Drosophila melanogaster: one gene and its partners. The protein of the gene in region 3 interacts with the protein of the main gene of each other region in a pairwise test. Each region holds a gene or a part of one and is shown on either strand. Other genes may lie near its edges. The genes, in order: CG3857, cdm, toy and Ccn.

Evidence for each region.
Region 1: the proteins of toy (region 3) and CG3857 interact in a two-hybrid assay, tested with the Drosophila melanogaster proteins (one large-scale study listed by BioGRID).
Region 2: the proteins of toy (region 3) and cdm interact in a two-hybrid assay, tested with the Drosophila melanogaster proteins (one large-scale study listed by BioGRID).
Region 4: the proteins of toy (region 3) and Ccn interact in a two-hybrid assay, tested with the Drosophila melanogaster proteins (one large-scale study listed by BioGRID).

Annotation. Positions count from the first base shown.
Region 1 is NC_004354.4:1,937,184-1,941,872, forward strand, and holds CG3857 (uncharacterized protein), read right to left. Parts: upstream 2,858-4,689; 5' UTR 2,772-2,857; coding exon 1,308-2,771; 3' UTR 517-1,307; downstream 1-516. Other genes in the region: CG3587 (uncharacterized protein), read left to right, coding at 3,204-3,468, 3,527-3,873, 3,941-4,228. UniProt on the Drosophila melanogaster protein: Involved in nonsense-mediated decay (NMD) of mRNAs containing premature stop codons. Probable component of kinase complex containing nonC and recruited to stalled ribosomes.
Region 2 is NT_033777.3:18,178,703-18,185,236, forward strand, and holds cdm (cadmus), read right to left. Parts: upstream 4,778-6,534; 5' UTR 4,645-4,777; coding exon 4,489-4,644; intron 4,391-4,488; coding exon 3,894-4,390; intron 3,832-3,893; coding exon 3,150-3,831; intron 3,045-3,149; coding exon 2,445-3,044; intron 2,379-2,444; coding exon 2,181-2,378; intron 2,121-2,180; coding exon 1,983-2,120; intron 1,924-1,982; coding exon 1,364-1,923; intron 1,348-1,363; exon of another isoform or gene 1,300-1,347; coding exon 1,215-1,299; 3' UTR 573-1,214; downstream 1-572. Other genes in the region: CG7208 (uncharacterized protein), read right to left, coding at 5,081-5,891, 5,956-6,443.
Region 3 is NC_004353.4:988,125-992,764, reverse strand, and holds the start of toy (twin of eyeless), read right to left. Parts: upstream 3,041-4,640; 5' UTR 2,514-3,040; coding exon 2,263-2,513; intron 700-2,262; coding exon 519-699; intron 1-518.
Region 4 is NT_037436.4:17,688,325-17,693,064, forward strand, and holds the start of Ccn (Ccn), read left to right. Parts: upstream 1-1,690; 5' UTR 1,691-2,151; intron 2,152-4,740.

The DNA of each region.
Region 1 (4,689 bases), on a different chromosome or scaffold from region 3:
GTACCGCCGCAGTGGGTTGATCGTGTTTTAATTATGTTATAGGTATCGTACAACTTTTGCGCTCGGCATGGGCGACGTGGCGTCCTCCGGTAGCGGGTCGTTGTTTTATTAATTTAAATTAGGTCTTGGCGCAACATAGGTTTACATTTTTATTTTAGAAATTTTACACCTTTTATTGAATTATGCAATATTTGTTGCGCCCCGGGATGGGCGTAGTTCCCCCCGGCAGCGGGTAATTGCTATTTTATCATTTTATACACAGCTCACGCAGCACTTCTTTTTCATTTATGGATTTCAGATCTTAATCTGACTTATGCACACCACCACTATTTTTACGCACAAATTTCCACAATTTTTTCGTATCACTTTTATCGGCCGGACATTGCCGGTCCCTGTTCGGGCGCCAGTTAACGCAAGTTCCACTTGCATCAGGGTTCTCGGCACTCGCTGCCGCATACCTCACCTTGATATGACAACCAACATGCTGTGGTTCTCCAAATAATAGTCAAGATAGTTAAGAGGGTTCGAGTTTACGATTAGCTTTATTTTAAGATTCAGTTCGCGATCTGCTAGCGGTTCCGTTATGTGTCCGTTCGAGACTGGGCCTCTTCTCCCGCCCCGCTGCTTTTATATCCGCTTCCCCCGTTGACCCCTCACCCTGAGTGCGACCAACGGCACTTGTTCCGAATGCACACATACACAAACATGTTCCTAGACAGGCCCCGAGTCGCCTGCTGACGGGGCCCGAAAACACGAGAGCCGAGCGCTGGTGAGTCCTGACGAAGATCGCAAGAAGAGGGTTCGTAACTTACACGAACATGTTACTAGACAGGCCCCGAGTCGCCTGCTGACGGGGCCCGAAAACACGAGAGCCGAGCGCTGGTGAGTCCTGACGAAGAGCGCAAGAAGAGGGTTCTTAACTTTAATAATCGGCTGATAAAAATGGATAATCGTTAAGCCTAAACTCCAAAATGTAAATACTATTCTTTGTAAATGCTATACAATTATTTTTGAAGTCTTTTATTAATTAGGGATATGTCTGTAAAACAATATGTATATCAGTCACTATCTCAACTTCTGATTCATATGTTAACTTTAAACACCTCCTTTAAAAAAAAGACTTGATGTCGGTCGGTATTCAGCTAAACATATTGGCCATAACACTGCACGTGTCATTAATAAAAGGATAGGTAAACATTGCCACTGGAACTTGAATCACTTGAATGATTCAGGACTGCGTATCCCAGTCCAAGCCGCTTCACCCACTTGCATAGTTTTATACCAACCGCGTACTTACAATCTGTGGATCAGCTTTCGGCATTGGAAGAGAACGTGCGCCAATTGTCCGATCGCCACTGGCAGCGTGTGTCCAGGTGGCGCAACTTGATCTCTGCGTAGATCTTTTCGAAATGAGGAGCCGCCTTGCGAGCACTTTCGGCCAGGATCTCAAACCAGATGGCCTCACTGAGTTCGGTGCTGGTGTGGCACATAGAGATGCGCGTGCATCCGAGGATACGTTCTCGGAACTGACGCACCAGTTCGCCGAGGCAGGAATGGAAAGCGGTGGCTTTGTTGCTACTCACCTCCGGCAGGAGGAAGGTGTTTAAGCACCGTGCATCGCCTCTTCCCCGGTATATGGGCAGCCCCGTCGGCCCGTATAAGTAGGCCAACTTTTTGTCCAGTCGTTCCCGCTGCTGTATCTCAAAGTCTATTCGATGGGCACGCGCGCGGACGAATACTACCTGCGGCATGTGATCCCGTACATAGCCTTTGCAATGAAGCGTCGGTCTCAGGCGAAGGGCAGCGTTTATCAGACGCAATTGTTCCAAGGCCAAGCCATCGATGACTAAAATTAATATATGGCATACACTCAACAGTTGCGCCATGGTGCCCAGGGAGTAAAGATCCTGGTGATCCGAGTCCTTGCCTACAGGCATTAACGGTGGTGTGTCCAGCAGTATGTGACGTTCCCGGGTGATAAAAAACTGCAGGGTTTCCGTGCGAGGACGCAAAATGCTCTTCTGCCCATTGTTCGGCTTCAACTTGTGACGCGTGGCAAAGATGCATTCATCCGCCTCTGGAGAGAATAGATGTTGATAGTAGTCGTAGTCCAGGGACCGCTCTGCGGCCAGAAGATTGAGCAGCGTGCTTTTTCCGGAACTCTGACCACCCAGGACCCCGATTACGGTGAAGTCCGTATTGGTTTTGTGGAAGAGCTTGCGGGCATTGGCATTAAAAATACCATTGGCCACGATTAGGGGTGTGGGACGGTTCATGCGTGGCGGCTGCAGCTCCTGGAGAGCATTCGGTGCTCCGGCCGAGGTGCCAGCTGTTCCGGCACCACCACTGCAGCTCCCCTTGTCCCTGCTAGTTGGTACCGAGCTAACCAATGCGGCGCAAACGGAGCTGGATGGCACGGCGGACAATTGCCCGCTTCCCTGGACAAGAGCACCTCCGGCCAAAGGCATCTGGCATCTGTCTGCAGGCCGCACCTCACCCGTACGATTGACGATCATCGTTTTGAGGGCCGGCGGTGTATCGGGGTAACAACTGGGACTTGGCTCCGCCTCCCTGTCCCTCTCCAGCTTCCTATCCTTGTCCCGCTCTCTGTCCCAGGTCTCTTGCTCCCGATCGCGATCCTTCTTTAGCAGAATTTTTGGCTGCATCATGCGGGCGGCGTCCTCGCGCCGGGCGATGGTCACGGGTGCCAGGAGGCCGGAGCAGGCTTCATCCCGCTTTTTGTTACGGAAACGACGACGGGGATCAGCCATTCGGAAGCCGGTTATTTGGGGTTTATATTTGACTAAATTTAAATCGGTTTGAACACGTTCGTGGGTGTCAACGCTAATACATTGTTTCGCAGCACTGGTATGTACATAACCATCGCAGATGTCGTGGAAATATAGCTAAAAAGCGAAAAATACGAAATTAAGGACAACATTTTTAATTTCAGACGCAACAATCGGCTGGCCCAACAAATAACGGTACACAAGATTATCCACTTTTTTTTATCACAATTGCACTGGACTTATAGCCAAATATTTTTAATCATGAGAAGTGAAAGGCAAGCACATATCTAAATCTAGCTCGAAACCAGATGGATGCTCATCTTGCACACTGTCACCAGTGTTGGTAACCGAGTGCATTGTGAGCGGAACGTTCCGACACCTACTTTGTTTATTTATTGTTATTAATTAGGAAGCATGCCCCTCGTGGTGATTACGGGCCTGCCAGCCAGCGGAAAGAGCACACGTGCCCGCCAGCTACGGGATCATTTCGTGGAGCGCGGCAGGAAGGTGCATCTAATCAGCGAAAACGAGGCAGTGCCCAAGGCGGGTTTTGGAAAGAATTCCCATACAGGTGATTCGCAGAAGGAGAAGGTGGTACGTAGCGATCTTAAGTCGGAAGCCTCGCGTCACCTTAACCAGGAGGATCTGGTCATCTTGGACGCCGGGAACTACATCAAAGGTGAGCTCTCACCAAGGTTCAGCTAAGGTTCGTAAACCACAACCAAAATTTCTTCCAGGCTACCGCTACGAATTGTACTGCATGTCCAAGGTGTCAAGGACCACCCAGTGCACTGTGTTTACCTGCATACCCCAGGAGGAGGCGTGGACCTTTAATAGCCAAAGAACGGCGCCGGATGAACTGCCTGGCGACAGTGAAAGAGTTCAGCCGGTGGACAACTCGGATGTTCCCTACACCAGAGAGACTTTTGATGCTCTGTGCCAGCGCTACGAGGAGCCGCAGAGCAACAACCGTTGGGACAGTCCGCTGGTGGTAGTCTTGCCCAAGGACACGCTCGACATGGAGGCCATCTACAAGGCCTTGTACGAGTCCCAGCCACTGCCACCCAACCAGAGTACTTATAATGTAAGCGTAGAGCTTGGCCAGAGTTGAAGACAAAATATCACAAGTAACTGCTTTGTCCATTCCGCAGGCACCGCTGGGAACAACCAACTACCTGTTCGAACTGGACAAAATCGTGCAGGCGATCATCAAGGAGATCCTCGGCGCCGTCAAGATCAAGGCCTTCGGCCAGCTGCGCATCCCAGGGAGCAGAAATCCCGTGAAGGTCGCCACTTCGATGAATGCCCTCCAGCTGAACCGCCTGCGCCAGAAGTTCATCACGAGCACGTGCCACGCCAGCCAGACGTCACCCACTCCGCTGGAGCAGGTGCCGCACTTGTTCGTGCAGTTCATCAATGCCAACACGATCGGCTGCTAGCACTGTGATTGCGACAAGACAAATGCTAAAATAAAGTTCTTACCTCGGGCAGCAGGATAATGTTTTTGGGCTGATGTTGACACAATTTAATGTGGAAATCAAATAAAATATGTAGCTTAAATACTAATATGAAAATCGTTTTTGATTATTATTATCACTATGGATTAATTAAGTTGACTCTTCTGGGTTCTTGTGGCGTACTTAATTGCAGTGCATTTTCTGCTTATTTATTATTTCGTAAGGAAAACAATACATTTTTGTTTGTTCAAAGTGAGTTCAAAACTACATGAAATCAATAAAAAAAAATTTACGTATTTCCATTTGAATTTAAAAAATATTTTCCTTCGCCTATAAAATCTACTCTACTTACAGCGAAAAAAGTTCAGTGAACGAACTTTTCTCTTGCGCAGCGGGAACGAAGAGAACCCTCTCTTGAGCGCGCTCTTCGGGCGCTCTCTTCC
Region 2 (6,534 bases), on a different chromosome or scaffold from region 3:
TCTGCCACATGCATACATAGATAGCTATATGACATCCAGACATTCATGCCACATGCCACTATTATACACACATACTATATAAAACATGTTTACTACTCCACGACTCAAATTTGCAAATATTGTACGCTATTTAGCCTAGCAGTTAGAGCAGCATACCCATAATATATTTATATGAAACAAATCGCCCAGCAGGACACATAAATTGTGGTATGTATGTGCGTGAGTGTATTTTTGTATGTACTACCTATTAAATATAGAAATATATATATATATATATGTGCGGAGAACCGTGTTCCTGAACACCGATCAAAAGGAATTAGGCATTTTTGTTTGTCCTGGACTGGCCGTGGATGATCCTGCGGACCGCCAAGGAATAGAGATGTGCCAATTTCTGGTCCACCAAGCACAGTTGATAACCTATAAGCATCCTTACAACGTCACCACAACAGACTGGGACAAATTGCTGGTCGTAGCGTCTACTTCTATACGTTAATCTATATCTATATGTTAAACTGTAATTTTGGATCCGTGTCAACCAGTCGTTTAGTTCCATAGTCAAGTCATTACCGGGTCCGTTAGACAAGGATTTATGCAGATACTCTCAACTAATCTAGAATCTAGACAAAGGCGACGAAGCAGATCAAAAGAGTTTTGCTACCACTACCAAGTGCTGTACACGCCAAAAACGAAAGGCTTCAGTTTAGCTATAGACACAAATATATATATATATATATATATTATATAAAGAGATGTATTTACATATTTTTGGCATTATAGATACATACACAATGTGGAAAATTGCAAAACAATAATATGGGTGGAGAGGTAAAGGGAAAGTAATTCTTAGAAAGGCAGATTTTTTCATACAGGAAACGGTGAAAATCAAACTTTTCAACATAAGAATTAAACATATATATATATATGGGAAAAACAAAAACTATAAAACATTTACTAAAAGTGAAAACAATAAATGAAAAATGAGTTATACACCCTTAAAACAATATATATGTGCAAATTGTAAATGGAGCATGTAATTTTGTAAAAATTATAAATAAAAGTTTATCAAGTCGAGAACTTTTGAACTTAAGTTAAAATTGGAGACAATTTACAGAGCTGACGGCCTATTTAAATACAAACTAAATACAATTATAGAAACTAGATCAAAATCCGGATGGATAAAGATGTCATTTGGCCACTTATTGCATACACTCATTTCACTGGAACTTTTCTGTAAGTCCTCGGGTCTTCATTGCCATTTCCGACAAATGTTGTTGCAATAACCTCTTGTTGACCTTTTCCCTGTGAAAAAATTTATAAAATTAATACAATCTTTAAGGATCTATATATAAGTAACGCCTCTCACTTGATTATTAGAGCAGTGTAGCGCGTTTTATCCGCGTCGGTTATGAGCTGTGTGGGGAAATTGGGAGTGGACATTAGGGACTTCATCCAGACGGCCATCTCGGCGGCATATTTTCTGTTCATGGCAAGAAGGATGTCTGCAAACTTATCCACCTGCGACCGCGGCGTTAGGTAGCCCACGCACATCATCGCCGTGTACAGCGTCTGCTCGCCGGTGGCCAGGACAACTTCTGTGACATGAGCATGGTTACGCGACTGCATCACAAAGTGGGTAAGAAACTGTATGCTATTTCGGATGGCACCACTCTCCGGCAAAGTCATTCCACGCTGGGCGTAAAAGACCAGACGATCGTAGGCCAGTGTCTTGTCCTCCAAAACTTGAGGGATTTTCTTAATGATCTGCGTCAGACAGCCGAAGAAGGTTTCCATGGTGTCCGAAATGTTGGAGAAGTTCTGCTCGGGAGTGCTCTCAAATAGCTTAAAGCTGTGTTGGATGAACTCCCTCAGAAGTTGCTGCATCAGCGGCTTGCAGCCTTCGTCCTTAAAGAACATAACAATGGCCTGAAACAAAGGATTCTATTAGATCACTCAGTCATTTGCAATATATTGGTAAGGCTCACCGTTTTGGATATTTCTAGAGTAGGAGCGCAGCATCGGGTCTGAAAGCTGGCAACAATGAAGAGACAAAGATCCTGCAGCATTGGCTGGAAGCTGCTCCTTAAATTCGTTATCGCATGCTTCATCGCACTGCAAGCGGCCTATATGAATACGATAACATTTTATTAAAAATATGCAAAATTTTGTGTTTATTGCCTTACCTCTAGGACATCGATCTCCTCCACCCACATCTCGGCGATTCTCTTGAAGATGGGCATCGTGCGCTGCATGACGAGCAGAACTGGCTGCACAATCGGTTGGTCCGTCGCCTGCTCGTCCACATCCGTGTTTAGCGAGGAGAAGAGAGTGGAGATCATATTGAGCCGGAAGATTGTGCGAATTCGAGCAGCGGGAGTTTTCTAGTGCAACAAAAGAAATGGTTAGCAACTGATCTCTTTATATATTTTATATTTATATTTACTCACCGAATCTGCCTGGCAAATGGCCTGTAGCTCCTCGAAGCAGGGACTGACGATAATATCCAAGTATTTGGGTATTTCCTCTGGCCGCAGCAGGCTCATTAGCTTACCGATGCTGAACATAAGCCTCACCGAATCGGAGTTCTTCATGCGGCCCGTGTTTAGGGAAGCGTGGCATGCGTTTAGGAGCGGATCCGCATACGGCTTCAGCTGCAGCTGACAATCGCGACACAGCTCCTTCAGGCCGAGCGTCGCCTGTGCTGACATTGAGGAGTTGAGGCCGCGCACCAGTAGGTTAATGGCTGGCGGAATGTACGCCGGATTCTCCATCAGCCAATTGCAATAGGAGCCCATTGTCTCTAGCGCAGTGCCCAGTAGCTTGACATTGAGCTTCTCGTAGGGAATCTCGGCCAGCACGCGCATCAGCCGTGGTATTTGCCGCTTCTCCTCGCCACCAAAGTGCTCGGCCACCGACTGAAAGGAATAGATGCACGCCTCCAGCTTTGTCCAGTGTGTGGGATGTCTTTGCAGATCGGCAATGGCCTCGTCCAACATGGCAGCCAGAATCTCCAAGATATAGTCATTCAACACATCATAGCAATACATCTAAAATAAATAAAATAAATGCTATATTATGCCTGTTTGTTAATAGTTGAAAACGGTAGCCAATCCTTTCGATTTGGAGACACTCCAACTGTTGCAACCACTCACAAAGGTATCGGATATATCCTGTCTGTAGCACCTAAAGCATTCCAAATCATCGGAGCTCCACTTGGCGAGCGACTTTTCGTCTGGCTGCTCTGACTTTCTTACTAAAATCCTGGTTAGATGGGCGTACAATGGTTTGATGTACTCCCAGCACTTGTGTTTCTGCTCATCGTTAGACATGGCGAACACTTCGTCTTGCAGCATATACCAAAACGCCAAGGCCATTGTGCTGCAGGACTCCTCCACCGGGTAAATGCCCGGCTTGTCCGTGCAGTGGAGAATCTCCTGCACGATGCGATGCACTAGGATAGACAATTCCGGATCCGCGGACGTGATGCCGCTGAGCAACAGCGTCGAATGTCGCTCCACCGAAGAGACGAACAGCATGTAGATATGTACGATAATGTCCTCGTTGTCGTTCTCCCTCTTCCATTCCGTCTTTGTGATTTCGGATAGCGAGTCCAGGAACATTTTTATAAGCACAAATGCCGTCTTTGGATAGTTGTGGCAGTCTGGCTGGATGATAATGTTCACCATGGTCTTCAGACAGGACTCGGCCAGTTCGTTCTCATCGGCGGTCATGCAGCCGTCGCCGGCGTGTATGCAGGGCCAATAGCACTTGTGCACCACTTCCAGGAGCACGGCGGTGATGGTGACGCAGCCCTCAATGGTGTAGCCGATGTTTCTGTCCAAGTTGGAAACTCACTTAGAACGTGTAAAGAATAATTTTGTAAATTGAATACTCACTTGATCCAGGTGCCGACGCACTTAACGGCCCTGTTCATGTTACTGTACGCCTCGGCATCCCACACGCGGTTCATTTGCAGCTTCAGATATCGCTCAACGGTGTGAATGACCAACTGCACTCGCTTGGCGATCTCGGCGCGCAGAACAACCCGCTTGACAGACGTATGTATGACCTGCGCTTCCTCGGGAATGGCGGTCAGCACCTCCAGCATGATCCACAATTGCACATCGGCGCTGACATTTGGCATCCGTTGATTCTGAAACGTGTTGATCACCTCCTCGATGGCGCCGGGCCATTCGCCCAGCATGTGAACGATGTAAGCGCCCAGCGAGATGCACAACCGATTGAGGACGATCTTCGGTCCGCCAGCGAAGCGAACGATGGATTCGAGTATCTTTTGCTTTAACTCCTCGCGATTCTCTGGCGGCACTTCGTGCCAGTGCTTCATAAGCTTGGAGTGCAGCGTGATGGCGCCGAAGAACTGCACCTCCTGACTCTGTGTGGGCGGTGGGGTGATTGGGTGGGCGGTAGGTGCATGAGTATACATATCCGGGTAATTGATGCATTGATGCGCAGGTCCTGCGTGGTACTCACCTTGCCGAGCTGCATTAGCTGCCAGGAAAACTGCCAGGCCTGTGGACTGGCCTCCGCATCGGTAAGCCATTCATGGGTGATCGCCTGGTTCTGCGAGTTCGAGCGGTAGAACGACACGACCGCCTCCTCCAGACGCGCAATGTCAATGGGCTCCATGTGGAATGGCTGCTGCTGCTGCTAATGCTGCTGCTGCCGAGAGGCAGTCTCCTGTCCGCTAATCCTCGGGTGGTGGTTTTCTTTGCTTCTGCCTGTGGGCACTGGATTCGCGAGTGTGACCAACGCGCGAAGTCACCAATTCGCGGACGGGCCGAGTGTGCGGTCACTCCATTTTCGACTTTGCCGCGCTTTTTTTCCTCCTGTATTTTTTATAAAAAGTGTTGAAATGTACGTATTTAATAATAAATAAATATGTAATATAGTATAAATTGCTTGTGGCCTATATGCTCGATATATGCAGGAAAAATTCAATTTATAACAACATTTATTCATTCGTACACTTCATAAAATTTTACTATTTCTATTTAGTAAATACTCTCTGCAATTGAGGAGTATCTTAACAAGTTAACAGTGAATTTGGAAAGCCCAAAAAGTCCTATATAAAATCGAATTTAAGTTGCCAGAAACAGTATCGCAATTTGGAACACCGGTCGGCGATGAAATCCCTGCTATCCTCATCGATATACACCTCAATAAGGACGTTGTCGCAGAATTGAGCGACCTGCCTCTCCACGTCTTGGCAGTCCAAAGTGGAGCGATTAACGACGGCCCATCTGTCGGTATTCAAGCCCGGGTTCTGTGACTCCAGTAATGCGAAGATCACACAGAGCGACTTATTCGGACTGACCAAGGGCAGGACAAAGGTCGTCCTCACTAGATCGAAGAACTTAATGAAGGGCTGGCAGGAGTGGGGCGGCTCCACACCTTCGACTGCTTCGATGACCCATTGGGCCGTTTCGTTATCCTCGCAGACCACCAGCATGTTGCAGTCGAATGTCTGCGTTGAGGCACACTCACTAAAATTGAGATCGCTGACGCTCGATCCACTGTCCTCGAATATTGAATGAAAGTGCTCCATTAGGGCGATAGTGTCCACACCATCCGAGCACGAACTCTGGTTAGTTATCACCAAGGCGTAACGTCGGTTCTCGGGCATTGTGTTCGCATACGGCGGCCGAGTATCCCTCTTGCGACAATTCTTTGGCGTGCAGCAGTCCTTCTTCCTCTCCTTGCACTCCTCGGCCTGCTCCACTGAGCAGCTTGTGCGGCTGGTCTCCGTCTTGCAGCAGTTCATCAGGTGGATCTTCGAACCAAATATGGAAGCCATGCTGCCGGCTCGTTTGTCCGCGAGCAGATTCTGCTGCGGAACCACCTTGACCACGCTGTTCTCTTGGTTGCTTCGTATTCTGTGAATGAATCAGTTGGGTATCCCTATCATTTACATATATAGTTATTACACACAACACACACCTTTTGGCAGCCGATTCCTCATCGGAGGCGCACACTCTCGTCTTTCGCGCTACGGAGCTGGCGCTCGTGCTTGCGGATTCGAAGCTGGCGTTCGTCTGGTTCGACGCACTGGATGCGGAGGAATCTTGCGAGTTCGAAGCCTCGCAAAACTGCGGAAGCCTGTCCACTGGCAGAAGCATAGAGCTCTTCGGCATGTTAAGGAAATCCAGTTGGCTCTTGCCCTCTGGAATTGTATAGAATTGGAGAAATCCTACAAAGGAATTTTCGTGGTACAGCGAAAAGGCTGTACCATTAAGCGTTGTCGACGGATAAGTATAATCGCTTTTATCCGGAATTCTGAGCAAATTTGTAATAAACTCATCGTTTTCCAGAGACTTGTGAAAACTCTGTACGTTTAGGCGAGCCAAGGGAAGACCTACTTTTACCTCCAGTTTTTGCTTCAATTCACCAATGGTCGCATTATTGTGGAGCTCGAACATTTCCGGCATCTGTATGGGATTGAGAAATGAAAATATGTATTTATTAAATTTAAGCTTCAATTATTATAGCTCCATTTATAAGCCACAATTGTAAAATATG
Region 3 (4,640 bases):
CTCTACGAGTAACTGTATCATTAATCAGAGTTTTTAAGAGAACAGGAAAACAACTATAAATAGCTTAAAGCTATAAGGCTCTATTAGAAAATTCGTTTGAAACAATCTTCCAGCTTTAAACTTCTAAAATTTTTAACTTAAGACAGAAAGAGAGGTACAGACTGGTCCTAGATCCATCCTGATCATGAATATACATATATATTTTTAAGGATCGAAAACGCTTAAAATGGTATGTTAGAACTTTTATTAGTCAGATCAGAGTTTTTAAGAGAACAGGAAAACAACTATAAATAGCTTAAAGCTATAAGGCTCTATTAGAAAGTTAGTTTGAAACAATCTTTCAGCTTTAAACTTCTAAAATTTTTAACGTAAGACAGAAAGAGAGGTACGGACTGGTCCTAGATCCTGATCATGAATATACATATATATTTTTAAGGATCGAAAACGCTTAAAATGGTATGTTAGAACTTTTATTAGCACGTGCAGAAATATTATTATGTGCGCAAAATATAACTTACACTTGGAATGTTATCACTATTGCAAACTTGTTCCGATAGCAGTCGATCTCGTATTTCCCACGCAAATATGCTGGGACATTCCCGTTTGTAATCTGCAATTTTTTGCACAACCGGGGTTGTAGCTACTCGTGGCTTTGAACCACCTATAGCTCGAGGTTTTATCGATCCAGTTTCATAATATCTAAAAAAAATAAACTTATTTACATTTTATCTGAGTAGTCATTAAAAGTAGATAATAGAATAAACAATGAATATACAATCAATTTAGATTTGGCTGTATATTTTCTTATTTTGCAAAGAACAGAGAATTTAAAAATACGTTCTTCTTAAGATATGATTTTGATTTTTATGTATTATGATCATAAATGGTGAATGTGTTTCAATAATCAGAGTCACACAATGAGAGATTGGGATGGGGGCCTGATTTCAAATTTTCATATTACGAAAATCATTGATTTTCTTACTCTAAAGTATTTATAATAGAACTGCTAATATCTGATTAGTTCCAATTATGTAACTTAGTAGTCGAAAGCCGTAAATATTCTCGGGAAGAGCAGTGCTTATAGTAAAGTAAAAAAGGACATTCCTCTAGTATTGATTGAAAAATCCTCTTTCCAAAATGTTAGATGAGCACAAAAAAACAATTCGGAGTGCAGTGCTTGTAAATGCGAGCTGCAACTTGTAAAAAGAAAAGCGCAGCGATTCATTAGTGGTGACAATGCTAAACGCCGTCGAAATGTTTAGCGTCGAGATAATAAAAACTATAAGCAAACCTCAGCGTCAACAGTCAACACTTTCAGTTGTAGACATTAAATTAGTTAAATGCAGCCGGTATATAAATATTTTGCGAATGGCATATAGGATTGAATATAGAATATATGCTAAACAAAATAACATAAGTATTAATTAGAAGCCAGGGGAGAAATGTATTTGTTAGTGTTGTACAATGGACAGCACTTGCAATACGGACACCAATAACGCCGTAAAGAGGTTCTTCCAACAAACAAATTTGGCTACTCGCAAAACAGATGCTAAGCAAGTTCTCTTTAATCATACGCAGTCTTACGATCATTGGTTAGTTGATACGAAATAGACTAGGAGGCATTCGGATCTTATGCATATAGAAACTACTGAAACGTTAGTAAGGCCATTAACTTACCAAAAACAGAGAGAATGCTATAGTCGAATTCCCCGACTATACGACTAAATACGAAAGCAAAATTGTGTTATTTTTCTGGGATCCGTTTTTTGCGTTTTGTTGGTGTAAGAAGGGGTGTGGCGAAAGTGTTTTTGGTATACCGATAGAAGACAAACAATAAAACGATTAAAAATCAACACTTTTTTTAAAAGTGTTGGCAATATGGGTCAACAAACTTGCGCTACGTCCATATCTCTACAATCAGTATGCCTAATTCCAACCATCTAGCTTTTATAGTTCCTGAGATCGAGACATTCATACGGACAGACGGAATATATACATACTTCATATGGTCGGGAACGCATCCTTCTTCCTGTTGCATACTTTTCAACAAATCTAATATACCTTTTGACTCTTTGAGTAACGGGTATAATAATCGAATCTTTCATATTTTCCAAATTTAATATCACTCCCTGGTTTAAACGCAGTGCTTATATAATAAAGTCCGAAGTCAGAAATTTTAGCTGAGCAGTTTGTTTGTTGGAGGCTACTTTCGTAGTTCCTGTTTAGTTAAGAAAATGTCATTATGCACTCGAAATGCCTCACCTGCCCAAAATTTTGCTTACGCAACCGTTGGACACTTGTAGTATTCTTGAAATATCACAAGGACGTGCGCCGGAATGAGCCAATTCGACAATTTTTTGACGCGTTGAATCGGGCAGTGGCCGGCCATTAACATATACGCCGCCCAGCTGATTTATTCCGCTATGGCCCGCCGTGGAGCACCCAAATAGAGTACTCTGCCCGACTGACGAGTGGGGATGCCCATGCATTATGTGTTCAGTTGTTAGCATCATAATTAATTATTTTTAATGCGGCGTTGGAGACTTCGACGGTGGCTGACGTGCGTATGTTTATTATTGAAAGTGAGAAAGTAGGATTACTCCCTTTTTCATTGTTGTTAGAAGGGGGGCTTCGTTGCCAACTTTGTACATCCCATATATATTATCTTCTTCACCTGGTAATCAAACTCCAGACTATCACTTCAGACGTTTTAACATTTATCACTTTTTACTTGCCAGGATATGAACTTTCACTTTATGAGTTTTGTTTTAAGTGTGCACGATGGAAAGCGTTAAAGTGTTTTAAAACTGTATCATAGATCGTTTATGAAAATGGTCCCGATATTTTCCGTCGAAAGTACGGGTCCGCAGCCCGGCGGCAGCGCCACGGATGGCGACCTAGTTTATTAATCTGGGAATAATTTGCATTCAAAATGATCGAATAGTGACGTAGGTATCGGTTTAAGCTTGAACAAAAATTTCTTTTGCTAACTGGTTTCAGTGACGAGGTGCGCACTTAGCCAAGCGAAACGTTAATGAGCTCTCATGCGAAAAAACACTGGCAAGAGCAACGGCTAACACATCGGCCAGCCATTTTGGCGGCGTTGCTCTAGTTGTCTCTTTTCATTTGCAGTCAGCGATAGCTAACAACGTTGCTGTTTTCCGTGCCGTGAAAAGAGATAGCTATAGAGACATGAGGAAGAGAGGCATTACAACAAAATCCATCGTGCGCACATCTGGCAAATAGGAGTTGCGTAGGAAAGAGACGGCTATGGAAGAAAGAAAAGTGTACCCTATCCGCTTGAAAATCTTTTTGAAGTTTTGGTTGGTTGTTAAATATATCGTGGGCAACTTTAACATTATGGATTCAGCGATAATAACGCTGGAAAATAAAACTGAATTTATATAAACATAGATGGTTGTGTATATGTGTAAGTCTTATTCATCATTGTATGCATATGTTTGGTTGTGATGATATTTTATCATGTTTAATGCACTTAATCCCTAAAATATTTGATTATATAACCATGTATCCAAAAGTTTAAGAATCTGATCATTCTGAATAACATACAATCTAATCGTTTGCCATACCTTTGTTTTAAAAAAGTATAGAACGACTAGTTATTTATTGCCCTGTATCAATTCCCCATCTTTACGTTAAGTATTATTATATTTCTGATGTCGGTTGTGTTAATATACAAAAATACATTCACATATAAAAACTATGAGTGCATTTTATTAGTTTTAATTTAAATTTAAAATTGAACAGCAATAAAAACGTATTCAGGAAGGTCAAACAGTATCAGGAGTTCAAAATGCCTTGCCTTACCTGTAGCGTGATCTGCGTGACTTGGGCTTGAGATGAAGTTTGTATTGTTAACTTTAAAGAGTATTTAGTATTTGTAAATTTTTTGTTGTATATCTATACAAAATATTAAATATGTAAATACATAAATTGTCTGTTCTGCTACTTCTGCTTGTATTTACATTTTCGATATCTATTATTTACAGAAATTAAACCCCCAAGTAACAGCATTCAAAACCTAAACCACCCCAAAAAGCCACCACTGAGCTTACTTGCTCTCAACATCCTGTCCGACACGTTTTTTGGATTTTTGAAGTCACACGCATCAACGAATCTATTTCCCCTTCCACCACAATTTCCATTATTGTAGTGCCGGCATCCAGTGTGCTGGGCTTCTTCAAAGGGGCATATTCTTGAATCGCCTTTTTGTCATTCCTATTGCGTGTGCCAAAAATTTCATGGCGCATTGTAAAGGTGACGAATCTGATTTTCCTGGAATGTGTGAAAATACCTTAATTTATATTATTTAGCGTAGTGTCTGGGCTGCAACAAATGCATATAACCATTAAATTTTGCACTCATGATATTTGATTTTTCTTGCGTACCTACTTACTAGTAGAGTCTCTATCGATATGCTAAACAATAATTTAGCCACGTCTACTCTAAAGCCTACATTTTGTTTGATGTTTTTTTAATTTCAATATCTTTATCAATGTGTAAAATAGAATGTCAGAAGGAAGCGCCTACATAAAGTATCTGTATTCTTGGTCAGGGCCACTAGCCGAGTCGATCTAGCCCTATCCGTCCGTATTAACGTCGAAATCTCAGGAAATATA
Region 4 (4,740 bases), on a different chromosome or scaffold from region 3:
GGGATTAAAATGGACCGGCCGGAGGCTTAAGCGGCTCCCAACGCCACTCGCCATCTAAGCTGCCGCTCCTGTTGGTCCTCCATGGTCAGAAGATGGCATATTTTGTGGCGTATTTAAGATTTGTTCCCTTCTAAAATTTGTGAAATTGCAAATTGTATTTGCCTGAGCCGTGACGAAACCCACAAACTTTTAAATTAAATTCTGAGCTAGCAGATTTTCATAATAAATAACGAGTCTTACACGAGTATAATCAGCCGTAATGCCATTGTGTAATGTAGAGATACACTGTATTCAACCAATACCGGGGCGGAACTTTCAACAAGTGGCGAATTCTTTGCGATTCGGTGTGTATTTTTGCATAATTTATTTACCCTGCTTGTTAAATCACAAATGCTGTACACAAAGAACCGCAATTTATGCGAGAGTATTGAAGTCTGTACACTGGACCAGGCCAAGATGCAATTTGGCTAAGTAAAGATGCCGATAAAGTGCAGTCGGATGGTGTGCAAATAGACTAAAAACATAAACTGCAGACGAGGCTAAGCAGCTCAAATGCATTAAATTTAAACGCTCGACTAAGCGGTTTAATTTGGAAAGTAGCAAAAAGCTTCGCCAATCTTTCATCGGACCAAGAATTCACTTCCTGTCCCTCCTCGACCACGTCCATTCATCGATTCGTCCATCCATCATGTCTATCAATGCCCGGGTCTTAGCCATGAGACAGATAAATCAGTTAAGCATCGTCATGTCAAGTTAACAGGCGATTACAAGGGCTTTACCTGACCAGATACGAAGCTTAAGACCATTGCGAGAGGTCAGCGAGGTTTAAGAGCATGTTTCAGTGAACCATTCGCCCTATTATCTATAATATGCAATAGTTCCTTGAACATAATGTTGGCCAATGAAAAAGTAAGCAGAAAAGAAGCAAAAATTTAAAAGTGGTATAGTCTCAATTAACTTAAGCACATATGTATTTGTAATCAAAAGCGAGGGCAATAAATCAAATAAGCTGGCGATTACAAAAGGCCGTCTGCATGCACCGATAGTTGATAAGCAATTGAGTGTGGGCGACGCAACAAGAGGATATCACGAAGGACACGAAGGATGGAAGCCTGCAGACCTCGGCTTGTTGATAAAAGAAATTAAACAGACAGCGCTGAAATAAAAGGGAAAACACAGAGGCAAAGAAGCATTAAGCCCACAAGACAATTGACAATGGGTGGGCCTGAAAATGGTTCAAGGATTCGAAGAGGGGTGTCCTTTTGGCAGGGGATCTGTGGCATTTGTCTCGACTGTCTCGTTGACATGACGTTGCGCGAATTGTGCGCCAGGATTGCTGTTGTGCGTTCTGTTGGCTGTGTTTTCGGTTTGCGAGTCGTCTGCCAACAAAGTGAGCAACACGCGCCGATGATTATGTTGCCGCTGACAACGACAACAACCACAGGAACAGCAGCAACACCTAAAGCAACAGCAATAACAGCAACACCAAAAGCAACATCAGCAACAGACTACTCCGAAAACGAGTGCCATTTTCGGAGTCCTGTTGGCGGCAAATGTCTTGTGGCACGAAGCTTTTCATTGACTAAAAGTGACGCATGCGCAGTTGGTCAGCCAACTTGGACTCCGATTTGAATTCAGTCCTCCGTCCTCAGTTTCAGTTCGTTTTTGTCACTCGTTCGTGCTGCACGGCACACGCGTCGTATGAGCGATATCACCTGGTCTTCTAAGACTGTTTTATTGGATTTTGGCGCAAGAAGGCAAAAAAGCCGGCTAAAGTGTCCCTCGTGGGTGTGTGTACGTGTGTTGCCGGAAATACTTTGAGCAATCGAAACGACAAAAGGCGAATAAAAAAAGATAGAAACCAAAACAAAAGTCTAAGCAAATTAACTTGGCCCATTCGTTGTATTGCGAGTATTGTTCTAGTGGTTATATTATGTTTGGGGTTTTTTGCCCAGCCCTCCTGCCAGCACGAAAGTAGGTTAATTGACGTGTGTTGCGGGCGTATCTACAAGGAAAATAATAAAAAAAAGTACCTAGAAGTAGAAAAACAAATACACGAGCAGCCAGTGAAGTGGTCAATTGCCACTGCCAGGGGTCTCTGAACCCCCTCGATAAATCAAAAGTGTGGGCAGAAAGTCCGGCTAATTTAAGGTATGTCAAATGGTATACTTATTGTTGAATATTTTATTATAATATTGCTAAAAATACAAGTTTAATCAACACTGACCGCAGTGTTAATGCGTTTATTTTGACGTTTGTGCCATTGGCTTCAAATAAATCTACATAATGTGGCAAAAATGGAGGTTCAATGCACTAGCAAATATCTATTGTTTTTAGTTGAACGAATTTTGTGCTGATTATTTGTTTCTACGTTGGACAATTTTAATTAGTTCGTGCATTGAGCAAGCATCGATTAATAGGTAATATATAACCCTAAAAAAATTTGAAGCACAAGTGTGGAAGTAATTTTAAACGAACGTCATTGTTTTATTGTTTTAAAAGCTACCATATTAAAGCGATAAGCTTCCAATTAAAAGTTAATGGGAGTGTTAAGTGTTAAATATTTGCATTAATGTGAGGCATTTAATTTTTTTTTTAGCCAAGTTTGTGGTGGTATGAGTAGAGTATGAGATAAATAGTTTCTTTTGTTATTATATTGCGGTAAATGATGTATTTCTCTTGATAAAAATAAAAATGCGGTATATTTTTTTAAATTACCCATCGAAAAAAAGTTTCGCATGCCAATGCGACAATTGACACTGCAGCAAACAGAAAAAAAGGACATAATACAAAGGGGAATAACATTGCGTAAACAAAAATAAACATATGCAAAATAAACTTCAAACAAATGTTGCCGCACCGAGTTTTGGGCCATCAAAACAAACAGAGAACACAAAAAAGGATAAAAACAGAACAAAAAAATTGAAACCGAAGTGAGCAACGCGGGGAAGTGGGTTCATGGTCGGTTGCGAATCGGTGCCTTAGAGGCAACTTTGTTGCACAAAATTTATTAATTTTTTTTTTCGCCAAGTGCGTGCTTGTGTGTGTGTGTGTGCGGTGTGTGTGTCAAATTTAAAAGCATTCTTTCCAGTTGCCTTTGGACGGGGGATGTCCTGGCAGCTGCCTTTTTGTTTTATTATTTTGCGGAAGCTGCGAACCAACATTTATAAAAAGGTTTTTCTTGCTCGTCCTGCTACGTGAGCCATGCACACACAAACACACCAACACACACACACACACAACATACATGCCCACACCCACAGACGCACATTGCTGTGCATTACCGTTATTTTATGACGGAAGTACATTTAAGCAGATTTTTTCTCACAGAACTCCCGCTCCCTTCAACCGAACTGGAAAAAAGGGCTGCCAAAAATGTACAAAAAAAAAAATTGGGAAACCGAGGAAATTTAAATATTTTCTTTTACGCTGTGCTTTTCATTTGCCAGTCTCGCTAAAATTTATGACCAACAAAATTGGAATATTCCCCAAAACAACAGTAGCAACAATAAAGCCAAGACAAAGTTCGCTTCGATGGCCGTAAAAAATAAGAAACCTTTACGAAGCGTTTCGATGAAAAATAACCATCCAGAATTTGAATCAAGTAAGAAAACATTGAAATACTCGATTAAATAAGCAACTTAATACTCAAAATATAGAAACAGATGACTAGATTAATTTTGTATGGTAGTGATTTGTTGTATTATTTGTATTTGTTGTATTTGTTGTGAAATGATGTATTATGCTTTTGATTTGAAAACAGAATGTTTGATAGCATATCATAAAATTTATATTAAGCCATTCCGCAAATTGAACTCGAGAAGTTATGAAAATGATAAGCTTCATAAACCAAATACTTTTCAAATGAACTCCTCCGCACCCTAGGCACATATTATATTAATTGAAATTTAATACAATTACCAGGCGAATGTGTGGAAAGCCAAGTGAAAGTCGGCAGCCAAAACACACATAAATTCAAGCCAAACACACACGCATTCCATGTTGGGAAGGCAAGGAGATTTCTTGCCAAGTAAGTGACTCAATAAATAAATTTACTTGCCAACTTTTTGCCTTGTTGTTGCGGCCTTGGGGGACTGATTGTTGCTTTCTCAAGGTAGATTTGCGTTGGCATGCTCTCCCCGTCGAAGGATCTGAAAAATACTGTAGCCGTAATAAACAACACTTGATCGAGGACGGGGGCACAAAGTTAAGTGTGCTTTACTGGGGCACGCGAAATAAATTTCTGGAATTTAACAAGATGAACGAGAATAGCAGGAGACAATTCTTTTTCAAAACGAGACCTCCTAATAAGATGTTGTTGAAATAGAAATTTGAGTAACATGCTGATTGTATTTATCGGAATAAATTGGTAGAGTATTCTACAACAACTGCCAATTTAAATCCCCGACTTTTCACTTATTTTTCATGAGCCACTTTAAGCTGTGAATTATACCACGCCAAGTATTATGATCTGATCTGAGCGAGGGTCGTAAAGCGGAATCCTCAAGAATACGAACTTGAATTTGCACAGCATTAGCACAGACTGTGGGGGTATCTAGAAAACAAAGACTGGGGTGGGAGGGCGTTTTTTACTCGCGCTTTTATTAAGTAAGTGAGCTATTCAAAATCAAAGCAGCGGAAAAATCCGCATCGCCCAGGGGCGAACGGTGTGGCAAAATGTGTCCGCCGATTGTCAGGCAAATGTCAAGCACAAGCTGCAGGCGGCTTTCAGCTTGTCTC